Caenorhabditis elegans: one gene and its partner. The protein of the gene in region 2 interacts with the protein of the main gene of each other region in a pairwise test. Each region holds a gene or a part of one and is shown on either strand. Other genes may lie near its edges.

Region 1 (3,931 bases), on a different chromosome or scaffold from region 2:
AATCTGCCCGAATTATACTAACGAACAGGTAATTAGCCTCTGTTTGAAAATCTTTAAAAACCACTAGAATTTCAGTGGAAAACATTTTTCCTGGTTATCAGCGGACTCATTGTTGCCTGCAACGCAGGATTCCCATTTTTGGCAAGGTCCGATGCGGCGGGATATACGAAAAAACAAGAACCAACAGTGAAATGTTAATTTTTTAAACTTTTATTGTCAAAAAAAAAAAAACCTTTTCGCCTAGTTTCAACCTTCGATTCACGCTCTGAAAAAAAATCTGGAAACATTTCTGGCCTCTTTATCATGTTCACAAAGTGATCATTGATTTAAATTTTATTTCATTTCCCAACTTTTGATTTTTTTTGTAATCTGAAAAGTGACGAATCAGTAGTTTCCCGTCATGCAAACATCAATTTGGATAACCTCCTTATCACGCAATTTAGATAAGAGTTACGTCTAAAAACTTTCATCATTACTGATTTTTCACTATTTCTAATCAGGAAATTAGACTGAACTTCTAGCAGTTTTGTTTCCATGTTAAAAAATGTGCAGCCGACAAAATTCGAGTCCATTGAGCTTGTACAAACGAGTGATTAATGCTTGAAACTTTATTCAGTAAAATCATTAGAAACCTGCGGAGACTGGATAATCAGATGATCCAGATGGGCCGTCCGAAACTGGGAAATCTGGGGTGCCAAATGGACCACCCGAGACTGGGTAGTCAGAAGTTCCAAAAAATGGCATATCGGAAGCTCCAGTTGGAGAATCGGAGAATGGCAAGTCGGTGGAGTAGGCCAATGGTCCATCGGAACTTGCGACTCCGGTAGCGTCGGAGATCGGCTCGTCAGTGGCTCCCGAAGCTGGATAAATTGGTGAATCAGATGGACCACCCGAGACTGGGAAATCAGTAGCTCCCGAAGATCCAAAGAATGGTAGATCGGAAGCTCCAGTTGGGGAATCAGAAAATGGCAAGTCAGTGGAATAGGCTCCGGTAGCGTCGGAGATCGGCTCGTCAGTGGCTCCCGAAGCTGGGCCATTTGTGAAATCAGGTGTGGACCCGGAACCAGATGGAATTGCTAAAACTCTCTGATTGTCTTATTTCAGAAAAAACCTTCTACTCACGAGTAAAGTTTTTCGGATCATAACTGCATACAAAAGGAAGCTCGTGGTGCTTGCCAATTGTCTGCCATTTTCCGTCAGTCGTATGTTCGGCAACATAATTGTTATCCTTCGCATGATTCATATTGAAGTTGCTCCAATACATTGTGGTTCCGTCGTCCCATTGGAATCTAGAGCTCGGAGTTGCACGGCTTAAACCGATCCAAAACTTTGTTGCGCCAGTTTGGCTACGAACGATTGCTGTAAAAGGAATTAAAGTATTTGGAAAGAATATAAAAGGCTAAGTTCCTCAAGCGCTATGTGAATCTAGGAGCCAGGTACGGTATTCACACTGGGCTTTTGGTTCAGGCCACGTTTGGGCCGGGGACTGTGGTCAATCATACAGTTGTGTATTGAAGGACTTGAACTCTTGACATCTAGGCTTCCAGTCCCCACCACTACCGACCGAGCTATTCCAGCCCTACCTATGCCTACTTGTGTCCTCAAAACTCACATGCTAAGAAGTTAGTTTGTAGAGTATTGTGAAGTACTGCCAAATTTTGGTTGTTCCCCGAGCAAGCTCGTTCGGCTCCGTCGAAATTCCGGGTTTCAGTGTAAAATGAGTAACATCTGAAAATTTGAAAATTTAAGAATTAAATCTTTTTTTTTTCCAAAATGTAACTTAAGAAAAACTTACAGATCTCCAATCAACTTGTCCTCATAATGGGCACATTGCCCAGCGACTAATTGTAGAATCGAAAGAGCTACCACTAAACGAAACATGATTTCCAGCTTGTTTCCAGATACACATTCTCCTAGTCATTGATCTATTTATGTAAAAATATTATCAGCCTGTCAGGTGTGATAAGCGGAGTTTGTAAGGTTGATTTGTTGGGTTACACCCTTCGGAGCACAAACTATTAAGGAAAATTGATGATTTTTCAGACTAGATGGTGTGCTTTTTGTAGCAGATAAGTGAGTACTTGATTATAAAGAAAAACTTTAAAAAATAATTTTTGATTTGATTTTTGACCCACTTTGATTTTTTGATACTTTGATATTTTGCAAAAAAAACTCATGGAAAAAAACGTCTGCAATGATAAAAGGTGGGCTACACTCTGTGGGGAAATTGCTTAAAAACACGCCTATGGGGTCACAATGACCGAATATTATGATAAAAAAATTCAAAACATTTTTCTAGATTTTATATGATTTTTTGAAAATTGGGAAAATCTCAGTTTTCCCTTAATTCCTATTTGGATTACCGCCAATTGAATTTGTTCGATGGAGCGCGCTTGCAATATTTTTATTTATTCCATGGTAGCACAGAAACTAGATGGATTGGTTCATGATACTCAGTCTGGAAACCTATATTGGCTACTATCTCGAAAACCATCACAAAATCGGTTTTGCTATGCATATAAGAAATGACCGCAATGAAATTATCTATCTTTATTTGTGATGAATTTTCGATTTTGTACTTCCTGGCCAAGTTATGCAAGTTTGTTCGGTGGAGCGCGTTTGCACCCAACTAGCAACTGAACCACCGTGATTCATTTTATTCATTCTCATTGTTTCACTTTTTCTGTCATTTCTTTCATTTTCCAATTAAAAAATCCCGAAAAGTGAAGAAAATCAGAGAGATAATGAGAAAAAATGAATGAAAATAATGCAAGCGCGCTCCATCGAACGAATTCAATTGGCGATAATTCGAATTGGAATTAGGGGATCACTGAGATTTTTCCAATTTCCCAAAAATCATTTTTAAAAAACTAGACAAATTTTTTGAATTTTTTAATCAAGATATTCGGTCATTGTTATCCCATAATCATGTTTTAAAGCAATTTCCCCAACAAGTGTAGTCCACCTTTAAAACACCTCCGACCAATTAAAAAAAATTGGCCACGCCCTTTGCGCAGCGCTGATTGGTCCCTAACTACATGAAAATTTTTACAGCTGTCCTTAAAACTAGAAAAATTTCTAATTTCGTTTCCATAAAGTTCTCACAAAATCGAAATTATTATTTTTTGTTCAGCTAATCACAAAATGCCATAAAATTACTTTTTCACCTGTTTCCCTCTGGCTCATACATCTTTCGTTTTCAAATTTCCTTTGCTCGCTTCTAGTTTTGAAATGAAAATACTGATTTCACTAATTTTTCTAAAGTTATCACTCGTTTCGGACTCCAATAAATTAGATGTATTTGGTGGAATGAACCATTATATGAAATTTTTGGAGGAGAATTGTGGTGAGTTCTGAATAATTGAAATTGAAATAAGTGTGTAGATAAATCCAACTTAAAACAAACATCTTTTAGAGCCGCATTGCATTTTTCCGGAATCTTCTCTCGCTAGTTATAATCTGGATCTATTTCCAACAAATTGCAGCACTGTTTGCGCAGATATCCTAATTGATGAAAGATCCAATTTGTCCGAATATCAGCTATCCCATGCATTTCAAAATATGAAACATTTAATTGGAAGCTTGGCAGTAATGTCGACAGACTTCAAAAGTGGCACGTTCCTAGCTTCACTGGAATCGGTGGAGTGTAGCACGAAAAGTCGACTTAAACCGCCTGTTGATATAATAGAGGTACTGGATTTTTCTCGATGTATTACCAAAATTTTTTTCCAGCCACAGTTTATGTGGGGCGACAACCACAATATGATAAACTTGGGACTTGTTAATCTAACCTCTATAGGTTGTTCCAATATTTATTTTCTGAGAAACACAGTTAGACTATTGAATCTTCCAAACCTGAAGGTAATCTTGAAAAATTGGAAGATAGCACAATGTACATTATGCGAAATGAAAAAAAACATTTTTAAAGGTG
Region 2 (3,931 bases):
GATTTAAATTTCCAATAATTTTGTGAAAAGTCTTCAACACTTTGCCCAGTTATTTTTACTGTAAGGGAGATTCTAAAGTACTGCCAAGAAGTTGCGAATTTCACTATTCGTTTTTTTTTGAATTTATCAGGGTACTGTATAAAACTGTCAGAAGCTTTTAGACGATAAATTTTGGTAAGAAGTTGCAAAAGTAGTTGCAACCAAATATTGAGATAAACCCGAGTCGGCATCACTTTTGTAAGTTTATGACATTACTCATCCACATTCTTTCTGATAGTAACTGGGAAACTTTTAAGAAATTATTTACAGGATATTTTCTACTTATTTGAAATGAAAATTCGTGACTTTTGCGCTAACCAGACCTGGTCTGGGAGAACCGATTTTTCTAAAACCATCCTATCTGAATTATGACAAATATAATTGCTCTACCAGAACCCCAGTTTATACTTTATTCAAACTTAATTTATACTTATCAATTGGCATTTTCGCCGATTCAATTTCAAACAAGTTTGGCTAAAAGAGAGCAAGATGACAGAAGTATGTGAGTTTGATGTGGGCAGAGGAACAGGTGATTTTTTGAAAAAAGAGGAAAGATGGAAATAGAAAATGCCGTACGAAAAAAGTTAATTCACATTCTTCGTTTTTCGGAAATCCAAAACCTGAATTACATTCACACGGAGGCTCGTTTCTTTCGGTGTCTTCTGCTTCTGACAACACAGAGTCTCCTTGACAACGATTCGTGGCTCAAATGGAGTGAGAATTCGAAGAAAAGGTAGTAGAAGGGAATAGAAAGAGGAAAGGGATTCAGAAAAAATTGTTCGAAGAATTGTTCTGTCTTAAATTAACGGGGGAAAACAGGATCTGTTTACACGCTACAATGAGAAGTTTTGTAGAATTATGTACATTCTGAAAGCAATAGAAATACAATTTTGAAATCAAGTGCTCGTGAAAAAGGAATATTCCAGATTAAATACAAATACAAAAATAAAAATCTAAAGTATTCAAGTCAGGGAATTTTCGTACAAAACATGACAGTCCAATTTTTTCCTGGGAAGGAATAACAACATTTAAAGAGCGAATTGAAAATGAGAAAAATAATTGAAATTTTTTAGAAAAAGACTTTAAAAAAAGTGTGGTGCGTCAGAAAATCTTCAGATCAATTTCCCAAAAACCGAACTTAGGTACAAGAAAAAGCTAGAAAAAAAGGGTTAAAATTCAGCTATGTGCAATTTTTTTTTGAATTTTGGCAACTTTCAAAATTATCATACATTTTTTAAAAAGGAGTCAAATTTATATTTTGTGAAAAATTCGATTTTTTGCCGAATAAAAATTCTGAATGATTTTTTTTCCATGACACATCTAGTTTCAAACAATGTTAGCTTGTCTGATCTTCTTTTTTGAAATGAGACATATTTTTACGCATGTTAACCTCGAAATTATTAAAACTTTAAAAAAAGGAGCGGAAATGATTTTTCAAACTCCGCACAAGGTAAGATATAAGGCACAAACCAGTCGGAACTACAAAATTAACAAATTTTATATGGAAGAAAATTTTAACTTTTTGTTTTTATTTTTAACGTTTGACAGATAATATTTGCGAAAATCTGGTTAGAACAGAATTTTGGTAGCAGCTGACATTTTCTTAGATTATATTTCACTAATTTTAAATATATATTTGCAATTATTTACTGATTGTGAGAACTTTCAAGTTGATTTAGAACAAGTAAAAAAAATTAAGAACTTCTAGACTGTAGGCATGCAAGTTTTTTAACGTCATTCTTACTCATCTCAGTTTGGAAACCCCTTCTCTGATCATACTAAATAATTTATTTGAGATTGTTAGCAACAAAAAAGTCCCTAAAGTGATGACTATTGTGATTCATAATTATATAAATGTTCAATATATCACGCGTTACCCTATGATCTCATGAAAATGATCAGAGGGTAAATATGATTTATTCAAAAACAATGAAATATAATGTTAATTGGAGAGGTAAAGTTTGAGCCGGGAAGGTATAAATATAAAGTTGAGAGTAATCATTTTCTGATGAAAGATTTTTACTATCAGTTTGGACCATAACTTTCTACGGATTCCAGAACAATGCGACGAATCACTTGCTGCTTTCCGGTAATTAATCGTTTTGTGGAAAAATAATTATTGAACATTAGGATTATTATTCAAAAATACTGCCCCTTTGCTTGACAATTTTTGAAACAATTTTCAAGTATAAAACATATAAAACATCCTAAAGAGCTTATGAAACATATTTAATAATACTACAGATAAAAATTCACCGAAGACAACCACCTAGTCCACCATCAACTATCACATTGAGCAGTTATGAGTACAGTTCACTCGCTGTCGGAATCATTTCCGATTTGAAAGAAGAGGGTTGTGATACATTACTTGTCAAGCTTCAGAAGGTTTTCATCAACACTTCCATTATACTTTCATAGATTTTTCTCAGGATGCCAATCGGAAAATCGGAATGGGAGTCGGGGTAAGAGATCGTGGAATCCTCATAACCACTGTAGTACCTGGATCGGTTGCCGCTGAGAAATTGAAAGTTGGAGATCGTATTTTGGCGGTCAATGGACGTCCAATTTTGGATCAGGTAAGAATGATACAACAAATAGGAGACACAATAAAATTATCCAAAAACTGACTGAAATTGAAAAAATTTTCTAAGGGGGAAATTTGTGCAAGATGCGAGCAAGACTAACTAGTTTATATTTATAACAAACATTTAGATATCCGATATCTATATTTGTCACTTACTTCAGCGCTCGGTGGTGAAATCGGTCAAAGCATCTGGTCAACGACTGTATCTTCAAATCGCCCGTCCTCACAAGGTACATAAATAATGGTCCCTATATTTTAATTATTGCGCTACGAACAGTTTCTTTTTATCTTCTAATTATTTGAAATCGTATATTTCTTCCCAAAAATTATTTTCCAAAAGGCTAATTTCAGCAAAAAGCCTCAACCAACCTCATCAACTTTTTTTGGCATTACCAAAGTTTCTAAAATTTGTTGAAGTTTGCTGCAAGAAATTGATAAGATACAATAATTATTTCCCCAACGAACCCTTTATCTGTACCAAAATTCAAATCTCGCATTGTAACGGAATGCACTTACTTACTGTTGTAGATTTTATCCGTCAAAAAATCTATTTTGCTAGCAATTTCACCTCCTCACACACGCTATAACATTTTTTTTCCTGACTAACCTCAACAGTTTTATTGTAACGATCTTAAAAAATTATTGAACTTCCTGGTGGGAGGTTACTCGACTAATTGGAATATTTATGAAATATTAAAAAAAAACAATAAACACAAGAAAAACAGTTTATTATATACTATTCATGCGTGGGAAATTATCCAAAAATAAAACAATGAAAGATCCAAAATAAGGACTAAAAGATAGAACACTAAACTTAAGGAAATAATATCACCGCATACTTTGCAAATGGGTGTAAAACGACTAGATATTCAGCATGTTTGGAACGAATTGAATAGTTTTCAAAAAAAAAAACGGTAAAACTTCAAAAAGAAAAACATTTCAAAAAAGTACCCTGCAGAGTTTGACAGAAGAGGCGAGACATAATTGACTGCCTACAAAATGCATAAAATTGCTCGCCTATATTTCAAAAAAAAAAATTCAAAAAAAATTAAGAAAAAAATATGGAAACCTGAGTTGTGTTGAAAGTTGGGGGAGAGGATTCGAATCAAGAAAAAAACAAGGAAATAATTTTAAGGGGGAAGCGGTACGAATAACATTGAGCACTTTTGAAGGTAGGAATGCTAGAATATTATTAGAAGTTCGTCAGAAAATGAACGACGAATATGAAGGGAAAGAGTGTAAAACCCGGAAATCGAAACGAATTGAGTGTTTGATCACCTACAAGACTAAAATATCACGTATGTTGTA

Evidence for each region.
Region 1: the proteins of C52A11.3 (region 2) and clec-209 interact in a two-hybrid assay, tested with the Caenorhabditis elegans proteins (one large-scale study listed by BioGRID).

The regions. Positions count from the first base shown.
Region 1 is NC_003283.11:2,349,626-2,353,556, reverse strand, and holds clec-209 (C-type lectin domain-containing protein), read right to left. Parts: upstream 1,882-3,931; coding exon 1,796-1,881; intron 1,729-1,795; coding exon 1,613-1,728; intron 1,360-1,612; coding exon 1,123-1,359; intron 1,077-1,122; coding exon 625-1,076; downstream 1-624. Other genes in the region: Y19D10A.8 (Major facilitator superfamily (MFS) profile domain-containing protein), read left to right, coding at 1-28, 76-198; irld-53 (Receptor L-domain domain-containing protein), read left to right, coding at 3,232-3,346, 3,416-3,690, 3,733-3,861.
Region 2 is NC_003280.10:10,735,301-10,739,231, forward strand, and holds C52A11.3 (PDZ domain-containing protein C52A11.3), read left to right. Parts: upstream 1-2,058; 5' UTR 2,059-2,101; coding exon 2,102-2,128; intron 2,129-2,283; coding exon 2,284-2,424; intron 2,425-2,468; coding exon 2,469-2,615; intron 2,616-2,784; coding exon 2,785-2,865; 3' UTR 2,866-3,328; downstream 3,329-3,931.